2 linked regions of the Tamandua tetradactyla genome follow. The protein of the gene in region 1 interacts with the protein of each later gene in a pairwise test. Links are inferred from orthologs where the notes say so. Each region holds a gene or a part of one and is shown in the gene's direction. Other genes may lie near its edges.

What was found.
Region 2: the proteins of MYBPC3 (region 1) and myosin-7 interact in a two-hybrid assay, tested with the Homo sapiens proteins (2 studies listed by IntAct). The link is inferred for Tamandua tetradactyla from reciprocal best matches to the Homo sapiens genes MYBPC3 and MYH7.

Annotation. Positions count from the first base shown.
Region 1 is NC_135334.1:124,086,270-124,095,813, reverse strand, and holds the start of MYBPC3 (myosin-binding protein C, cardiac-type), read left to right. Parts: upstream 1-5,615; 5' UTR 5,616-5,727; coding exon 5,728-5,752; intron 5,753-6,671; coding exon 6,672-6,938; intron 6,939-7,744; coding exon 7,745-7,846; intron 7,847-7,920; coding exon 7,921-8,028; intron 8,029-8,132; coding exon 8,133-8,281; intron 8,282-8,648; coding exon 8,649-8,766; intron 8,767-9,077; coding exon 9,078-9,126; intron 9,127-9,244; coding exon 9,245-9,274; intron 9,275-9,419; coding exon 9,420-9,473; intron 9,474-9,544. Other genes in the region: SPI1 (transcription factor PU.1), read left to right, coding at 1,411-1,598, 2,319-2,481, 2,760-3,076. UniProt on the Homo sapiens protein: Thick filament-associated protein located in the crossbridge region of vertebrate striated muscle a bands. In vitro it binds MHC, F-actin and native thin filaments, and modifies the activity of actin-activated myosin ATPase.
Region 2 is NC_135340.1:31,455,742-31,465,639, forward strand, and holds the start of myosin-7, read left to right. Parts: upstream 1-5,643; 5' UTR 5,644-5,751; intron 5,752-7,079; 5' UTR 7,080-7,134; intron 7,135-7,582; 5' UTR 7,583-7,590; coding exon 7,591-7,791; intron 7,792-8,050; coding exon 8,051-8,194; intron 8,195-8,472; coding exon 8,473-8,629; intron 8,630-8,812; coding exon 8,813-8,840; intron 8,841-9,428; coding exon 9,429-9,537; intron 9,538-9,617; coding exon 9,618-9,713; intron 9,714-9,821; coding exon 9,822-9,885; intron 9,886-9,898. UniProt on the Homo sapiens protein: Myosins are actin-based motor molecules with ATPase activity essential for muscle contraction. Forms regular bipolar thick filaments that, together with actin thin filaments, constitute the fundamental contractile unit of skeletal and cardiac muscle.

The DNA of each region.
Region 1 (9,544 bases):
TGTCACTGTACTGACTAGGCGCCAGGGGGTGGGGAAGGAGAGGAGATAAGCGGATGCTAAGTGTCTGCTCTGTGCTCAAGTGCTAGGCCAGGCTCTTTAGAATAAAATAAGAATGACAACGGTGAGGGTGGTGGAGTCTCAGTGCCTGGCTGTGCTCTAAGCACTCCGCATGCCTCAGTCACTCAGCAAGTCTCGGAGACGGTGCTGTGACCAGGTCCACTTTAAGATGGGGTCGGCCGCGCGGAGAGACGGAGGGAGGCGCTGGCCTGCGCCACGGAGGCGGGCACAGCCGGCTTTGCGTCCCGCTCCACCTGCCTCCTTCGCGGGCTCTTTCCCTGGTGCCGTGGGCCCCACACGGGCGGGAGCCAGGCGGCCTGTCTGTGGGTTCAGGAGGTCTCACTCCCGGGTGGTCCCCGATGTTGGGGGAGGGGAATCAGAGGCTCAGGAAGACAAAGTGTCTTGCCCAGGGTCACACAGCAGAGCCACCACGGGGGCAGAGTTAGAACACAAGTCCTTTGCTTTCCAGCCTTGAGCTAAAAAAAAGTGAGAAGTGTTTGTGCAAGGAAAGGAAGGAGAGATGCACACAGGCACACGCTCATGCCCCGGGCCGGTGAGGGGCAGCCCGCAGGGCCTGGCCTCGTGGGTGTATGTCTGTCTGTGCACTCCCTCTTCAGGCCACTTGAGGAAACCCCAAGTGTCATCTCGCCATCACACCGCTTGGGGACCCAGGAAGGCTTCAGACACGCGTTAGTTTTTGTTCCTGGAAAAGGTGCCCAGAAACCCACGTTCAGGCCCTGCCCTCATCACGAGAGGACATGGCATGTGGCTCCAGCCCTAAGCCACTCCGCCACAGGCCGGAAGCACCGCTGCAGGGGAATTTCCAGGAAGGACTCACATCCCAGGGACCTCGCTGGCGCCCGGGCACCGCCATGGCCCACCCCAGCCACGGGAGGAGGCCACACGCCCCTGCGCCTGTGGACGGCAAGCAGCTCGGGATGGTGGGCAGCACCAGGCGAGGGCAGGCAGTGGCCGGGTCCCTGCTGGAAGTTTCCACAGGCGCGAGTTCATGCACATCCTCCAGTAACCGCTAGCCCCATGTCCTAGGAGGGTCAGCCACCCCAGCAGGCCAGCGGGGGGCCCGAGTCTGCGCCCCTGCAGCCATGTGGGCAATAGGCCTCGGACCTGGGCCCCTTGGGCACGTTCTGCGGCCTCCCCAGGCCTCAGGTCATCTATGAAGCGGGGCGCCCACTTCCCAAGATGGGGTGTACGCTGAGTGAGGTCGGCAGGCAGGCGCGTCGCCCGGCCTGGCCCCGTGAGGGCCCCGCGTGGCACTGTGTCTCATTATCGCTGCCTCCACCCCCACCCCCACCCCCGCCCCGGCCTCACTGCGCCCCCTGCTGCCCCCCGCAGACCATTACTGGGACTTCCACCCCCACCATGTGCACAGCGAGTTCGAGAGCTTCCCCGAGAACCACTTCACGGAGCTGCAGAGCGTGCAGCCCCCCCAGCTGCAGCAGCTCTACCGCCACATGGAGCTGGAGCAGATGCACGTGCTGGACGCGCCCATGGCCCCGCCCCATGCCACTCTCAGCCACCAGGTGCGCAGCTCTGCCCCGCCCAGGCCAAGGGCACACAGGAGCCGGCGCGCTCGTGCCCCACACTGCTTCTTGCCCCCCCCCCCCCCCCAGCGGCCTTGGGACCCTCCGGCCGGCCTGGCGATCCCACACCCCTCATCAGCTCTCGGCCCACGGGTGGCCAGGCTCCAGGCAGTCCCCATGGCTCTGCCCCTCCCAGCCAGCAGCCTCCATCGATGGGCGCCCCCAAGGGTGTGGTGTCCAGGGTGCTGAGTGCTGGGCTCTCCTCACCCTTTACTTTCCACACTGACCCCTTTGATGACCCTACTTGGCCCCATGGACTCTGTCCCCATCAGTAACCTCTACTGACCCCTACAAGCCTTCGCTGACCTCACTGCGTCCTTCACTCACTCTTCCCGCCACTTACTAAAGTCTGTCCAGTCCTAACCCAACCCACTGGCCCCTGAGCCCTCCTGCTCCCAGCCCCTGGAACCCGCTCATCCACTCAGCAGGAAGCTCAGCTTGGTGAGTGCCGAGGACCTGCACGCCCTTGTGCAGTGCACAGTCTGCACCCCTGTGCATGGGGGGCCTGGTCGCCTCTGCTGACCTGAGCGACGTCCAGCTTTCCCTGCCTCCCCTTAGTCTTTCTGCCCTCTGCTGACCACCCAGCCTCAGTGCTGCCCACAGCCCTGATCTCTGAACTGCCCCTTACCGACCTCAGCCCACTTGCCCTCACTTGCCCAGGTCTCCTACCTGCCCCGGATGTGCCTCCCATACCCCTCCCTTTCGCCGGCCCAGCCCAGCTCCGATGAGGAGGAGGGTGAGCGGCAGAGCCCCCCACTGGAGGTATCCGACGGGGAGGCTGATGGCCTGGAGCCAGGGCCTGGCCTCCTGCACGGGGAGACAGGTAGGTCCAGCAGGCCGAGGGGCACGGTGCCTGGGGGGTGGAGGGGAGGCGGCATGTGATATGTGCCAAGGGGTCCCCACAAGTTCCCAGCGTGTCCTCATGGGCCGTGTGTGCGCGCGCGAGTGTGTGTGTGTGAGCATGCATGCGCGTCTGTGCTGTGTGTGTGGGCTGAACCCGCGGGGGGGGGCGCGCCCCGTCCTACCCCAGGGGGCCGGCAGGGGGGAGGGGCGGAGGGTCCCGGGCCCGGCCCCCCAGCCCGCCCGCGCTGCTCCCCGCAGGCAGCAAGAAGAAGATTCGCCTGTACCAGTTCCTGCTGGACCTGCTGCGCAGCGGCGACATGAAGGACAGCATCTGGTGGGTGGACAAGGACAAGGGCACCTTCCAGTTCTCGTCCAAGCACAAGGAGGAGCTGGCCAACCGCTGGGGCGTGCAGAAGGGCAACCGCAAGAAGATGACGTACCAGAAGATGGCGCGCGCGCTGCGCAACTACGGCAAGACCGGGGAGGTGAAGAAGGTCAAGAAGAAGCTCACCTACCAGTTCAGCGGCGAGGTGCTGGGCCGCGGCCTGGCCGAGCGCCGCCATCCCCCGCACTGAGCGCGGCCGCCCGCCGCCCCGGCCACAGCATTAACCCCTCGCCCGCCGGACACGGGGAGGGGCGCGGGCCCCGGCAGCCCCCCGGCCCCGCCCCGCCCGCCCCGCCCGCCGGGACCAGCCCCGGGCGCGGGATCGGGCGGCCCCGCCTCGGCCCCGTGGACACCGAATGGTCCCTTCGAAGCCCCCCCGGGCTGCCCACCTGCCCCCGCAGGGCTCGCGAGTGACCGCCGGGACTCTCAGCCAGCCCCGCGCAGCGTTGTTATAAAGCCCGCCGCCGCCTCGCCCGCCTCAGCGTCCTGTGCGCCGCCGGGCCCGGGGTGGGGGGGGGGGGGGGGGAGGTGGGGGACCAGGCCTCGGGGGAGGGGGCCCACTGGGGCCCGGGGGTCCAGGCCTGGGGGATAGGGGGCTCACTGGGGCCCGGGGGGTCCAGGCCTGGGGGGAGGGGGCCCCCTGGGGCCCGGGGGTCCAGGCCTGGTGGATAGGGGGCTCACTGGGGCCCGGGGGGTCCAGGCCTGGGGGGAGGGGGCCCACTGGGGCCCTGGGGGACCAGGCCTGGGGGGAGGGGGCCCCCTGGGGCCCGGGGGTCCAGGCCTGGGGGGAGGGGGCCCCCTGGGGCCCGGGGGTCCAGGCCTGGGGGATAGGGGGCTCACTGGGGCCCGGGGGGTCCAGGCCTGGGGGGAGGGGGCCCACTGGGGCCCTGGGGGACCAGGCCTGGGGGGAGGGGGCCCCCTGGGGCCCGGGGGTCCAGGCCTGGGGGGAGGGGGCCCCCTGGGGCCCGGGGGGACCAGGCCTGGGGGATAGGGGGCCCACTGGGGCCCGGGGGTCCAGGCCTGGGGGATAGGGGGCCCCCTGGGGCCCGGCGTGGGGCGGAACCCAGGCCCGGGCGTGCCTACTGGGAAGCAGGAGCCCTCGCTCCCTACTGTATGAGTCGTGGTTAGCAGCCCTCGGGGGCTGGAGCCCGTCACCCGGGTGACGATGGCCGCAGCGTCGCTGCACTTTCCATGGTGTGAGGCGGATGCTGATGAGGCCGCACCGCGCAGTGGGAGAAACGGAGGCAGGCAGAGATCAGATGCTTCGGCCAAGATCACGCTGCCAGCGGGCGGCCATGCTGGAACCCCGGGCCCCGGACAGGAGGCGCCGGGTTGGCGGCCGTGGGGCGGCTCCGGCTCCGGCTCCCGCTCAGCTCGCAGCCGCGGGGACGCCCAGGAAGGCGGCGGCGGGGCCTCCCCGGCCGCGTGGACAACATGGCGCTCGGCGGCCCGTCCCTTCCGCCCCCGGGGCTCCTCCCGCCGCTGGGGGTCGCAAAGCCCCCCGACCTGGCCGGCGCATGTCTCCGGCCGCCTGGGCTTTCCCGACTTTTCCCCCCCCACACAGCCTCGGGGGGGCCCATCCCAGCTGCAGCGCCCAACAGGCCCCCCAGGGCGCGGGTGGCAGCTCCCCGCGCCCCACCCAGCGCCCCCACCAGGGGGTCACAGGCCACAACGGGCAGGCCCGGCAGCGACAGGGCCCCCCGGCCCCGGGCCCCTAGAGGGCCGCTCTGCTCAGCCCCCAAGTCAGGGCAGGCCCCCAACGCGGGGGGCCGAAGGTGGCTGCCCACGGGCAGGAGCAGCCCGGCCACCTGCAGCACCCCCACACCTCACGTACCCGCCCCCACGCGGGGGCTGCTCTCTGGTCCCCGGTCTCGCTTGGATGAGTCACGTGGGACACGCCTCTCTCCGCGTGGAGTAGGGTTGGGGGCCCCGTTGGAGGGTGGACCACAGATTGGGGACACCCAGGGGCTCAGCTCAACTCAGAGAGTCGCCCCGGCCTCACCCGCCTGCAGTGTTGCCCCCTCTCCAGCCCAGTGCCTTGCGGGCACCTTCATCTCCAATCTCCCAACCGGAGGAGCTGCCCACACCGGCTGGCAATCCAGCCCCGCTTTACAGGTGAAGCAGACGGGCATCAGGCTGGGGACTGCAGAGCCAGGCTCGGGGGCTGCCCACCTCAGGGCACGTGCCAGCCATGGGCAACCCAACCCACTGCCCCACAAAGCCCAGTGCGGCCCCGCCCGGTCCCACCCGGTCCCCCACTGGCCCCCACTGCCCCATCCAGCCCCCAACTGCCCCCCCACTACCCCACCCGGCCCCACATTGCCCCATCTGGTCTGGTACTGCCCCATCCAGACCCCCTCCCCCCACCCCTGCCACTGCCCCACCCAGACCCCACTGTCCCGCCCGGTCCCCCCACTGTCCCACCTGGCCCCCCACTGTCCCACCCGGCCCCTCACTGCCTGGCAAGTCACACAGCCACCTGCCGGCCTCAGGGTTAAGGTCCAGCCCACTTTCCACCTTCAATTTGCCTGTCAGATAGTCACACAGACTGGGCTTGGGTACCCCTGAGGGCACTGAGGATTGGGGTACAGAAGCTGTCCTATTTGTGTTGGGGGAGGGGAAGAGGAAAGGAACAATGGCCCAGACCCTCCCACTGCCCTCTCCACCCCGAGAGAGACCTGGGCTCCCTGGAATTTGTCTATATTTAGCGGGAGGCTGCTCGGAGGCTGATAAGGAGACCGGGGGAGGGAGTGTGACGGGGCCGTTATATAGCGGGGGCTGCCCGCCATCCCTCTGCGAACAGCCTGGGACTGTTCGGTGCCTGCTGTGGTCGCTCCCAAGATGCCGGAACCAGGGAAGAAGCCAGGTAGCTCCAGGCCGGGGTTGGGCTCGAGTGGGGTGCAGGGAGGGTGGGGTGTCTGCATTTGGGGGGCAGGGCTAGGAGCTGGCTCCCGAGGAGGTGGGGAATGCAACACTCGACAGGCCTCGGGCCCCTTCCTGAGGCTCAGGTCCCTTCCTGCTTCAGGGGACGGTGAGGCTGGACCCAGGGCTGGAGCACAGAGAGGGGAGTTGAGTCCCAGGGTGCCCTCCCCCATCTGGGACCTTTTTCAGGAGGGAGGCCTGGCCTGGTGGGAAAGGCTGCTGCGGGCGGGAGGGTTCCCCCCTTCTCTGGGTCTCAGTTTTCCCATCTGGACAAGGAGGGGATGGGCGGAGGCCCGCAAGCCTCCTTCCAGCTAAGCAGTTCCCTCTGCAGCCCTGTGACCTCCACACTGGGCATGGCCCCCACTCTGGGCTGATGGTCATGGGGCCCCAGGAGCCCCCGGCTGAGGGTAGAACAGGGCCCCCAACCTCCCAGGTCCTGGTCCCGGCCTGTGCCCCCACCAAGGGCACTGGGGCAGGCACCCTGTGTCCCACCCCTCCCCACCCCAGGCCAACTTTTTATCTCAGTTGCTGACTCTCAGCCCCAGGCCCTTGGAGGATAAATTTAGCCATACTCCAAGCAGCCTGAGCACCTGCCCCTGCCTGGGGACCCAGACTGGCCTGTGGGGGGTCCAGACCACACCCCCAGCTCTCCCGCCTACTGGCTGTGTAACCTTGGGCAAGCCCCTTAACCCCTCTGAGCCTCATGTCCTCATCTGGGAAAGGGACCTAAGCGCTGCCCCCCTCCTGGAGCTGAAGGAGCATTAAATGGGGGGACGCGTGCCCAGGGCCTCTCCCCAGGCTTGGTGGGGGCCGGTGGGGGGGGGGGGGGGTCCGGGCGTCCCTCAGCCCCGTCTGGGCCTCAGCCTCGGCCTTCAGCAAGAAGCCCCAGTCAGCGGAGGTGGCTGCGGGCGGCACTGCCGTGTTCGAGGCCGAGACAGAGCGGGCGGGCCTGAAAGTGCGCTGGCAGCGGGCAGGCAGTGACATCAGCACGGGCGACAAGTACAGCCTGGCCACCGAGGGCACGAAGCACACGCTGGCAGTGCGGGACGTGGGTCCCGCCGACCAGGGCCCTTACACGGTCATCGCCGGCTCCTCCAAGGTCAAGTTTGACCTCAAGGTCACAGAGGCGGGTAAGGGCAGACCCGTCCCTGAGGTCGACCTCCCGGCACAAGGGCAGTGCCACCTCCCCCCTGCAGGGTGCGGGCCCCTGTTCTCTGTGGCCCAGCCGCTCTGAGCACCCCAGGGCTCCTGGCTTGGGCATGCCCCCGGGGGAGGACCCACTGCAGGGAGGACCAGGCACAAGGGCACAAGCCGCCTCTGGGGGCCCCATGGGAACCGGCCTCAGGCCAGCAGGGAAGCCCCTGGTAGCCTGTGGTGGAGCTTCCAGCTAGGGAGCTGGATGAGGCTGCAGCCTCATGAGGGAAGGAAGGGACAGACGGACCCCGGAGCTGCTCAGGGCAGACCTGCAGTGGGTGAGGGTAGACAACGGCAAGGGAAGCCAGGGGCCGGCAGCTCCCCGCCCCCCCCCCCCAGATGACGCAGCAGGGACAGGAGCCCAGCATGGGACATCATCTGCAGGAGAGGCCTGGCCTGGTGCTCGGGAGGAGGGGAGGATAGGAGAGGGGGAGGAGGAGGGGAGGAGGGGAGGAGGAAAAGGGGGAGGAGGAGGGGAGGAGGGGAGGAGGAAAAGGGGGAGGAGGAGGGGAGGAGGGGAGGAGGAAAAGGGGGAGGAGGAGGGGAGGAGGAGGAGAGGACGGGAGGAGAGAGGAGGGGAGGGAGCTAGCAAGGGGTGAGAAGTGTCATGGAGGGGAAGGAGGAAAGGGGAGGGACAGATGAAGCCCTGTCTACTCTGGAGGAGCCTGCAGAGACTGGGGCAGGGCCGAAGGGTGTGGGGTGGTCTCTGGCTAGGAGCTGCTCCCCACTTGCTCCCCTCCAGAGACGGCAGAGATCGCCCCAGCTGCTACTGAGGCCCCGGGAGCCCCGGGGGGGGCATTGGCCCCGGCTGCTGAGCCGGAAGGAAGCTCTGCAAGGCCTGAAGGTGAGGGGGCTGCAGGGAGGGCAGGACCGGCTGCAGGATGTCCCAGGGCAGGTCCCAGAGGCCTCTGCTCACAGGGTCAAGTTCGGCTGCCCCCGAGAGCCCTGCCCCTGGATGCCCCAGCACCCCCGATGACCCCATTGGCCTGTTTGTGATGCGGCCTCAGGATGGTGAGGTGACCGCGGGTGAGTGCTGGGCAGCTGCACCCAAGGGTGTGGCGGGGAGGGAGGCAGCCAGACGCCCCCATGCCCGCCGGGCCCCCCACGGCAGCTGGGCCCCCTCCCCGCAGGCGGCAGCATCACCTTCTCAGCCCGCGTGGCTGGGGCCAGCCTCCTGAAACCACCTGTGGTCAAGTGGTTCAAGGGCAAGTGGGTGGACCTGAGCAGCAAGGTGGGCCAGCACCTGCAGCTACGCGACAGCTATGACCGCGCCAGCAAGGTGGGCCTGGCACAGGGGTGGCCTGGGGAGGGGCACGGGCTGCAGGACAGGGGGGTGGCTGGGGGCAGGGGTGCAGGGGATGGCGGGGGGACAGGACGGTGTGGAGAGCCCAGAACACAGCCCTGGGGGGTGGGGGGCAGGGCTCAAGGGGCCCTCAGGGATCCAGCAGAACGTCCGTCACCACAGGCACGAGGTAAGCGAGAGGCGGGAGCCCACGGGGGTGCGGCCTGGAGCCCGGGCCCCTGACCGCCCGCCCTGCTGGCCCCCGAGTGGGACCCCCTTTCTCCTGTGCGCAGCGTGCAGAGGTTGGGTGGGGGGTGGGGAGAAACCTCCTGGCCGCCGGCGCCCCAGCCCCTGCCTCCCCCAGGCCTACCTGTTCGAGCTGCACATCACCGATGCCCAGCCATCCTCAGCCGGCGGCTACCGCTGCGAGGTGGCCACCAAGGACAAGTTTGACAGCTGCAACTTCAGCCTCACGGTCCACGGTGAGGGCGCAGGGCCCGGGCTCCGTCCCGCCTCAGGACGGGCGGGCGCCTGGTGGCAGGGTGGGACATTGCATCGCCCGTGTGTCCCTGCTCCTGGCCGGGCCCAGCAGCGTCTGGGTGTCTGGCGAGCAGGTTGGGTGGGAGGCCCCCGCCTGGAAGGGAAGTGGGGACCCCAGGCTGACCCACTGCCCCAGGGCCCTGGCCCTGGTACAGGCCGGAGCGTGGCCTGGGGAGAGCCCTGCAGACTCTTGGAGGGGCCAGGGCAGGGTCCCTGGGAAGCCGCCGCTGAAGTCCTTCCCCTCTGAACCCAGAGGCCATAGGGCCTGGGGACCTGGACCTCCGGTCAGCTTTCCGCCGCACGTGAGTGGCTGTGGGGACTCTCCTTGGGGTTGGGGGAGGATGGGGGGGAGCGGGGGCCAGCGGGGGTGGAGGTGACACCCCCCCTGGCAGGAGAAGACACCACGTCTACCCCCGACAGGAGCGTGGCCGGAGGTGGTCGGTGCACCAGGTACCCCTTCCTGGCTCCCCCCAAGCCCCGGAGGCCCCACCTACCCTCTCCCCCGCCCCCAGTTCCCCCAATGCTCCCGCCCCTCACGGGCCCCACCGCGGCCTCACTGGCGATGGCGGTGGGGGGGGGGGATGTCTCTCTGCAGCGAAGGCCACGACGATGCAGGGACTCTGGACTTCAGCTCACTGCTCAGGAAGAGGTGGGTGCCTGGGCGCAGCTTGGGGGCAAGTCTCAGCCCAGGCGGGGCCCGGCCCACCCACTGACTTTGCT
Region 2 (9,898 bases), on another chromosome or scaffold:
TTTTATTTTTTTCTTTGAAATGTTTTCCAGCCTTGCCCTTTCCTTTTCTTTTTGGTCACTACCCTATCCTCTTCAGGTTTTCTTGCCTCCAGCCTCTTCTCCCTCGAGGCACCCAACAATACTCTTGAAAGTCCCCCTCAAACTCTATTTTCAGGACATCTTAATGACATTCCCTTGCTTAAAGCCATTATCATTCTTCATGGCCTCAGGATATTGTCCAATTTGTTTGTTTGGTAAACATGACAGAATCAATAGAAAGCACTTTGGAGCAGGATACACCTGGGTTTGAATCCCAGGACTACACTTGCTGCTTGACCTTGAGCAAACTTCTTCATCGTGTACCCCATTGCTTATCCATAAAATGCAATTTAATTGGCAGACAAATGTGAGCATCAGTGAGATAATAATTATAAGACACAATGCGTGTCCCTGGCTTCGGTGGGCACATCACACATGTAGAGCCCTTTCTCCTCTCCCTTACAATGTGGCTGCAACTCTTTCTCCTCCCATCTTATATCTCCAGACTCCCCATACTCTGACCAGGCAGAAGAGTTGCCCACCATTCCCCCACCATGCCTTCGGTCATGCTGTAATTTGCACCACCTAGGACACGTCTCAACTCCCACAGTTTCTCAAAGCCCTGCCTTTCCTTTTAGATTGGATTGCAAGCCCTCCACCTTGAAACCTTCAATTATTCAAGCCCACATTAAGCAAGAACTTCTCTGCCCTTTGGTTGTTCCAGATCTGGACACTTATTCAGCCCTGAACCATTCTCCTTTGGTTTCCAGTGTGTTCTAGTAGCCACACTAGAAGATGGGAGTGCTGGTGAGCCAGAGGCCATGTGACCCTCCTGTGGCCCCCATGGAGCTGAGCATACAGCAGGGGCCACAGTAAGGCATTGACTAAGACTGACTGACTTACTGACTGACTGGGACCCACTGGAGAATAAAGGGAGAATGAAACAGGCTGAGCTGGACTAGAAACTGGGAAGGAGACACCCCTGGCAGGCTGATCAAATACTAATGTTCTATCTTAACACTGGCTACTGACTTTGGCTCAGACTTCATGTCATGCATGCGTGTGCAGAGATGTATACCTATGCACATGTGTATAATGCATGTAACATGTGTGTTTGTGTGCATTCACCTACATTTATGTGTCAGAGTAGACAGTTGGGAAACAGGTAATGGTTCCAGGGAGGCCGGCTTAAGAGAGGGCACCTCTGGCATGAGGAATGAAGTATAGAGTCCCTCCTCCCCTTGGAAAGGGGACTGCTTATTACCCAGCCTCTTAGACCCTCAAGAAGCATTCATCTCCACTCCTAGCAAATCCAATGATCTCTCCGTACTCTGTGCTGATCCAGGCATGGTGACCACAGGATACTACCCCAAAGTTGCCTATGAACAGAGCAGAGAACCTGGAGTAGGTCCTAACTGGAGCCCGACATAGAGCAGAGTACAGAACTCTGGGTCTGAACACCAAAGTATCCAGGAAATGACTTCAGGATGCTGCTTTTCAGTTTATTTATTCTGGTTATTTCACTTCACGATGCCCTGACCATTCTCCTTCCAGAGGTTTCCAGCCCCTACTAGCTCCAATGCAGGGGGTGGTTGAGACTGCTGAAGGAACACTGCTCAGCCCAGGGCTGGTTCCTCCTGCCTCCTGAAGGCCCCAGTTTAGTGTACCTCCCCTCTGCAACCCAACTCCCAGGCCCTAGGGCCAACCCAGCTCCACCAGGCAGCTCTGTGTGCCCAGGACCCCTGAGATCTTCAGTCCAGGATGTTAAAATATGTACATATATAGCTGATGCTTTCATCAGGGGCCCTTGGCGAATGGATCTATTTGACCTGGGCCAATTCTTCATGGGCCTCAGCTTAGCACATTGGCTGGTCATAAGGGCAAGTTCAATGGGCAGCAGTTAGGGCTGCTGTCTCCCAGTCTCAGAGCTTAAGTCAAGAATGTCAAGAGTGGCCTGAGGACCTTGACCTCTCTAGCCATGATGTTTCCAAAGGTAAGCACAATGCAGGCTGTAGAGACACAGGCTGCTGGATGCCCTGGTCCACCCTGGCCCAGAACACCACTTAAATGAGTTGTCTTGGTGGTATTGGCAGAGATGGTGGAGGGTTGGGGGTGGCAAAGAACCTAAAGCAGGGTAGCTGGCCCTGCCTGTCTGCAGTCCTGGCTCCTCAAGCTTGTGTTCCTAACGATAAAAGCTGTCATTTAGTGAGAGCCTGCTACATGTCTGGTGCCGTGCTAGACCTTTTACTTTTGCTACCTTTGATGACCCTAGAAGGGAAACATGACTATCCCCATATTATAAATGACAAAACTGATTCAGAGAGGCTCCGTGCCTGACCTAGACCACACAGCTAGAACGTGGAGGACCTGGGTTTGGAGTGGATTCTTTGTGACTGACTCTGAAACTTGTGTCCCCAGGCTGCCCCTCCTGTGCCCCCTGAGGCCTCCAGCCCTGAAAGCCAGACCATCCACTCCCCACAAAGTCTCCCTTTGCCTGAGTTGTTCCATTCCAAACGTTCACTGAAGGCAGGATCTACTTTCCCAAACCACCCCAAACCTAAACTGGGCAAGCCCCACACTCAGCCCTCTTCCTCCCACCCCTTCTTTCCAATTGCCCTCGAGACTTGCCGGTAAAGGGTGGGGCGTTTAGAGGTACAAAAGACTGTGGAGCCAGCAGGAAGACAAAAGAATGACAAGAAGAAGCAGCTGCTTGTGAAGGGAAACCTGATACAGCACAAAGCTGGGCTCTTTAATCCCAGGCTCGTGTGGAGCCAGGGTAGGGGCCCCCAAGGTCAGGGATTCTAGGCGTGGGCAGGTGGGAGAGCTCCCCTCCCTGTGTGCAAACAACTGGTGCCTCATTCCTCTTCCTGGACCACAGCCCCCACCTCTTTCTGTCTCATCTCTGCCCCTTCCTTTTGGATTTGGGGGCCCCTTTGTGATCTCCCCCTCTCCAGGCTCAAGTCTCTTCTGATGGCCCCTCCTCCATTCCCGGTAGTAATTTTAGCAACTTTTCCTCTGGCCTTCCACTGGCATGTTCACAGCAAATGGCCCTTGTTTTGGCCTGACACTTGATTAGGGTGGTGACAGAGTCCAGACAAAGCAGGCCCAATGCCAGAGGGGGTGGGGGTAGAGACAGGAGAGGAGACAGATCACCTTCCTTCCACTCCAGACCTTATTTGGTCTACCTTGGTGAAGTTGCTCCCCCCCTCCGCACCCCCTCTCCTTTTTATTTATAGCATTCTGCTCTGCCCTCCTTTGTCTTGTCTGCTCCCACTCTGTAGTTTGCGCTGCACGGCCCCCTCCCCAGCCCCACCCGTCGCCCCTCGCTCAGGTTCTCCCCACTAGGAATGTGTGTGTGCAAAGCCACCAGCTGCACACTGAGCCCAGAATTTCACTTCTGCAACGAGAACAGAGCCGCCCCAGGGAGGGATCTTTCTTTCAGTCACTCCATCCACACTGACTAGAATGACGCCTGGCACCAGTAAGCACTCAATAAATGTTTCTTGAATGAACAAATTCAGCAAAGCCGCACAGTCCTCAGGTGGCAGCTGCAGAAGGAAGCGCATCATGCTGCAGCTGAGATCCATGCCGGAGGGACCGGGGAACGAGTGGGGGACCTTTGGACATCACACCCTCCCGTGTGTCTGAGACGTGAGGCAGCAAGCCTAGAGGCAGGAGGGTGGTTTCTAGTCTGCATCAGGGACTGGAGAACAGTAACACCATAACACCAGTAGGCCAATGCCCCCTGACCCCGAAAAGAGGGTAACAGAGTGTGATTAGTTCCACTACATGGAGAGAAGTCTTCCCCACTCCACAGCCAAGGAGGTTGGCCTGTAGTGGAGACGCTGGCTTTGAAATAGCCCAGCTCTGTCTCAAGCAGCACCTTTGTGCATCTCAATCGTCTGCATCTCAGCCTGAGCCCTGGGAAATCAAGGAAGAGCAGAAGCCCCATGCTTGGAAAACTGGAAAGGGTGGATGAAAAGAGATGTTTTTTTCCCCTTCATTGCCGATCTCTGAGGCCCCTAGGCCTCACTCCTCGGCACCTGGCAGGGCCTTGTTGGGGCCTCCAGCCTGTGTTCTGCTGGCCAGGTGAGCAGCAGGGCCCACTGGGGCCGCCTCAGCACTTGCGGACCTCAGCATTGCCACGTGACTGCATCAGCCACAGCGCCCGCGGCTCCTTGCTGTCGCCCCCACCGGCTGCCCGATGTCCTCAGCTTGTGCCATGGTTACCAAGCAGCCCCCACGGATCCAGGCCCCACCTGGACTTGCCCTTCCCTGCTGTGCTCACCCCTCATTCAAAATGTACCAACTCTGTACCCCATCCCCCAGGCCTGCCTCTTCCCTTCCAGCTAATCAGATGTATTAACCCACGTGCGCTGAAGCGCTATGTTTGGGAAAGGAGGAGGGATTTAAACCACGCCACACAGTGGTTGCCTGGACACAGGGCTAGTTGTTCTCGCACACCCCACTGCTGGCTCAGAGCCTGAGCCCCAGCTGCCTTTCCTCACCTTAGGAGCCGTGTGGCTGCCTCTAAGGCTTGAAGGAAAGGGGAAACCTTTCCTCTCCCTCTGCCCCACTTGCCAGAGCACCAGTGTCCTCCAGGTCTGGACAGAGGTTGCCCTGCAGAACCCCAGGGGGCAGGTGGGCTAGGCATTGCCATCTTGGTTAGGGGTTGTCTTCTAGCTCAGAGCAGCTGCGTTATCTACAGCTCAGAATGTCTGGTTCTGGCTAGGGCTTTTAGTGCCTTCAGGGCAGGGCTACAGAAACAGGTCAGGCAAAGGGCTCTAAACTGGGGTTCCCTCTGGGCAACTAGGCCCTGCCTTCCATGCACAATGGGTCGTCGCCTGCTTGGAATCCCAGCCTTCCTTCCCTTGCCTCCCCCTCCGTAAGCTGGCACTCCATCTCTGCTTGCTGAGGTTTCCTCCCTTGAATCTTGCTGCCCTGAATAGCCATATGACCTCAAGCAAGGCATTTCCCCTCTCCATGAAATGATGGGGTTGGACCGATCACTAAAAGCCAGTCTGACTCTAAGACTCGGTGACCTCAGCTCATCGCCTGCCTTGTCCAAGGAAATCACTGCCAGAGCCACTGGTTCTTGACGCTTGGCTGGGACGTCTCCTTCCAGTAGCCCCAATCTAGCCCCCCACCGTGGGGCCATGCCTGCGACTCCGCTCATCCCTCTGTGCTGCTGACAATCAGCCCCTTCCTATCTCACAGCTGGGTACAGGGCCTAGCCCGGGAGCGGGAGCGCAGGAAGGACACTGGGGAAGTCAGGCCAGACCAGCACTGGGGGCAGGGGGCCCTGGGGCCAGCAGGGTCAGGTCAGGGAAGCCCTACTGGAGGCACGGGGCCCTGCCTGCCCGAGTTCATGGTGGTGGTGGTCAGTTCCCTCTCCTACCGGCTGTGGAATGTGAGGCCTGGCCTGGGAGATATTTTGGATGCACTCTGAGCTGCCCCACCCCCTGGGACTCAGACCCTGCATACTCCATGCCATAACAATGACGACCACTTCCAATTGTTTCCTGCCTAGAGGGGGGAGGGGGAACGCTGTTTGGGAGGAGGGGGGCTGGGGGAAATGCTTCTAGTGACAACAGCCCTTTCTAAATCCGGCTAGGGACAGGGTGCAGGTGGGGGTGGGGGTGCCCTCTGCCCCATATATACAGCCCCTGAGACCAGGTCTGGCTCCACAGCCTTTTCTCCTGCCCTCTGTGTCTCTTTCCTTGCTGCTCTCAGGTAGGAGCGGGGAGCTGAAGGCCTTCCTCTGGGATCGGGGCCCCAGGTTTAGGAAGAGGCTCCTCTAGGACATAGCAGGCTTCACATAGGGCTGCATGCAGAGTGCCAGGTCTGGTCATGGAGGACACGTGTGCATGCCTAAATAGGCATGTACATACCCTAGGAATGTGGAGACTCATGTGTTATGGCAGGGCATGTCTGCATCTGAGCATACAGGGCCAGAATGTATCAGAGGTGTGTGCAGCAGGCATACACTGAACGTGGCGGCGCGGGGTTGGGGTGGGGTTTGCTAGCAAGCAAGCACAGGTGCTCACTGCTAAGACACAGAGATGGATACCAGGTGAGGATAGGGGGTTGTGATCATATCTGAGAACAGCAGGCCCATTGGTGGGGAGGAGAAGGAAGCATGTGTGCTTAAAGGCTGGCTCTGTGAAAAATCTGCAATATATAAATACCCATGTGCATGCAGGTAGAGGTGCTTGAATGTGCCCCTGGGGCGTGCATGTGACCGTGTGTGTGCTCCTGCAAACGGAGCCCACAGGCACGAGTGCGGGTGTCCGAGGTCCTTGTATTCTTGAAGTCATACATCACTGTCAGTCTATTTATGGTTTGCTGTGTTAAAAGTGCACAGCTGTTTTGGAGGCCTGTGGCACCCTGGTGGAGATATGCGTGTATGCCCAGGTGTAAGGAATCAGTGTGTCCTTTTGTGGACTGTGGGCATGAGTAATGGGTATGTGTGTTCTTGAGAGGACATGTGGCACACGGCTGTGCGCTGGGTGTATCTGAGAGAATGCCCACAGTGTCTCTGAGCACGTCACAAAGTCTAACAACAGAATGGGGACATGATGGAAGAGAACTGGCTTTGCAGTCATGCACTTTGGCTCTGGTCCTGGCTCTGCTGCTCTTCACCCTGGATTCCTGGGCAAGCAGACAGCTTGGCCTTCATGGCCTCATTTGTAGAATAGGGTGAGGATCCTGTAAGAGCACAGGTAGATTGAAAAGCACCAGACAAAGGCGACCTTTAGTTCTCAGGGGGCTCAAAGGAAGAGAGTTTTACTAAGTGGATATAAGCAAGGGTGGGACCATTTCCCAGGAGTGTAGGGGTTCAGAGCAGAGTTGCCCTCAGGCTGTTAGAACTGGTACTTGAAGTGGGGAAGGGGGGAGTGTTTGGAAAGCAAGAAAGAGGATGCAACGGGAGGAGCTGACCATCAATTCCAACCTGTGTTCAGACCTGGGGAAGAAGATTGGGTGCTGGAGGGCAAAGCCAGGGAGATGGTACTGCCTGGTGGGGCCATGGCCTGCCCTGACACTGCTTTCCCTCTCTCCAGGTCCCCGTAGGCCTGGGCCCCATTCTTCATCTGTAGACAAATTTGAGAAGCCAAGGTAAGGAAAGCTGAAGATGGGGTGCGGGAGGATCTGGGAGATTGGGCATGACAACCCCAGAGCCAGGCTATGAATCTCTAGTTCTTGCCCTGCCCTGGGGAGGTAACCTTAGTTACCAGGGATTCCTTACCTGTGTCTAATGAAGAGGACCTGCGCATGGAAGAGAGTCAGATTCCTGCTCCCACAAGAAGCCCAGGGCATTCTTCCTTCCCTAAGAGAGACCCAGCCTAAACAGTAGTCAGCCGCCCCTTCTACCCTGACAGGCTTACCAGGCCATTCTTCGGCCTGTGACAGAAGCTCAAAGAACAAGGGGCTTGCCAGTGACCCTTCTTGATTCCTGATCATTATGCTAGGTTGTGGGGCTTCCATGGAAGGTGGGAGACGAAGGAGGGGAAGAGGAGCGTAGGCAGATGACAGGGCAGCCAGCTTCTTCTCCTGCACACTACAGGTACAGCCATGGGGGATGCGGAGATGGCCGCGTTTGGGGCTGCTGCTCCCTACCTGCGTAAGTCAGAGAAGGAGCGGCTAGAAGCCCAGACCAGGCCTTTTGACCTCAAGAAGGACGTCTTTGTGCCTGATGACAAAGAGGAGTTCGTCAAGGCCAAGGTTATGTCTCGAGAGGGTGGCAAAGTCACTGCCGAGACCGAGCGTGGCAAGGTAGGTAGAAGGGCTGGCATGAGATGGGTGCAACAAGAATTTCCCTTTGATTTGGGTGGGCTACAAATCCTCAGCAGCCCTTCTCATTACCAACATTCAACTGTGAGACTCTGATTCCTCCTCTCAAATACCAGGGGCTTGGAACTCTCCCTACTCCTACCCCTAAGAAACCCCTCATTCTGATCCCTGTTGAGAGAGCAGGGAAAGGTTCAGGGTGGATAACATGAGCTGACAGCACTGCCTGTGTGGGCTGTTGCAGACGGTGACCGTGAAGGAGGACCAGGTGATGCAGCAGAACCCACCCAAGTTCGACAAGATCGAGGACATGGCCATGCTGACCTTCCTGCACGAGCCCGCCGTGCTCTACAACCTCAAGGAGCGCTACGCTTCCTGGATGATCTACGTGAGTGCCAGCCCTTAGCATATCCCTCTGAATCTAGTAGCTTCCTTGTCCACATATTTCCATTTCCTGGAGCCAAGAGTTTCTGTTCTCTGTGTGGAGGCAGCACTGCTCTTTCATCCTAGTCGGGACACCCATGGTTCCATATTAATACTCTGAAGGCTGGGATCACTCAGATTTAATGCCTTAGGAGATGGTCCTTTCTTTCCTGTCCCCAATTCTGAAAACCACCACACCGCCCCCTTCATCACTGGAACTCACTCTTCCTTTTCTATGCCCAGACCTACTCGGGCCTCTTCTGCGTCACCGTCAACCCCTACAAGTGGCTGCCGGTGTACAACGCGGAGGTGGTGGCCGCCTACCGGGGCAAGAAGAGGAGTGAGGCCCCGCCCCACATCTTCTCCATCTCCGACAACGCCTACCAGTACATGCTGACGGGTGAGAGACCCCCGGGAAGAGCTTCCCTGAAAGGGTCCCAGTGGAGGGAACTCACACTTGTTCCCTTCTTCCTCCTCGAGGGACTCAGGAAGCTGGGAGATGCCTAGAGATAGGCAGGGAGTAGGGTGGTGAGAAACTATCCTGTGCTGCTCCTGACTTTTCCTTCCCATTTTCTCCCCACAGACAGGGAAAACCAGTCCATCCTGATCACGTGAGTGTAGCTCCTGCCATGTTCTCCTCCAGAATCTCCTTGATCCAGACCCCCTCAGGGATCCCAGGCCCACGTGCATGGACCTACACTACTGTCCCTACCCCCTTCACCCATCTTCTCCTCTGACCTTTACCCTTACCCTTCTCTTTATTCTCCCCCTTCCTTTCTGCTTTCTCTCTCTCTTATTTTCCTCCCCCATTCCTTCTTCCTCTCCCGTCAAACTCATCATTTATACATAACCCTGTCAGCACCATGTCTTCTTTACGTCTTCACATCCTTTCATCTTTCCCTTCAGAACCCTTCTGCATCGTTCCAGCCCGACCCCAAGCTCAGCTCCTCTGACTGATCTTGCCCAGCCAAGCACAGGCTTCCCATGCCCAAAGTCAGTGCTTTCTTGTGCCTTCCTGGTCACTCCTCCAACCTGACACAGGTCTGAAAGCAACTGTGTGCTTTAGGTTGTGTGACCTGGCAGCTTCCTGCTTCATCTCCCGCTCTCAGGCAGGACCAGAATCCTCTCCAGACATGAGGCTTGTTAGTCCCAAGCAGTATTTATCCCACTGCCTAAAAAGCCCCTGACTGTCCCAACAGTGGAGAATCTGGGGCAGGGAAGACGGTCAACACCAAGAGGGTCATCCAGTACTTTGCTGTCATCGCCGCCATTGGGGACCGCAGTAAAAAGGAACAGACCACAGGCAAGGTAGGCTTGTTGTCCTCTAAGGACCTGCACTTCAGGAAAGGAGATGGAGGGCCTCTCACCTGCCCCCTTCCCTACCACAGCAAGCCACCCTGGAGGACCAGATCATCGAGGCCAACCCTGCCCTGGAGGCCTTCGGCAACGCCAAGACCGTGCGGAACGACAACTCCTCCCGCTTTGTGAGCGCTCCCTCACCACCTTGGCCTTGGGACTTGGACTGATTGAGGGATGGCCTCAAATGTGGGCTTTCCTCCCCAGCTCATCACTACCCTCCTCCAACTTTCCAGGGGAAATTCATTCGAATCCATTTTGGGGCGACCGGAAAGCTGGCGTCTGCAGACATAGAGACCTGTGAGTACCGGGG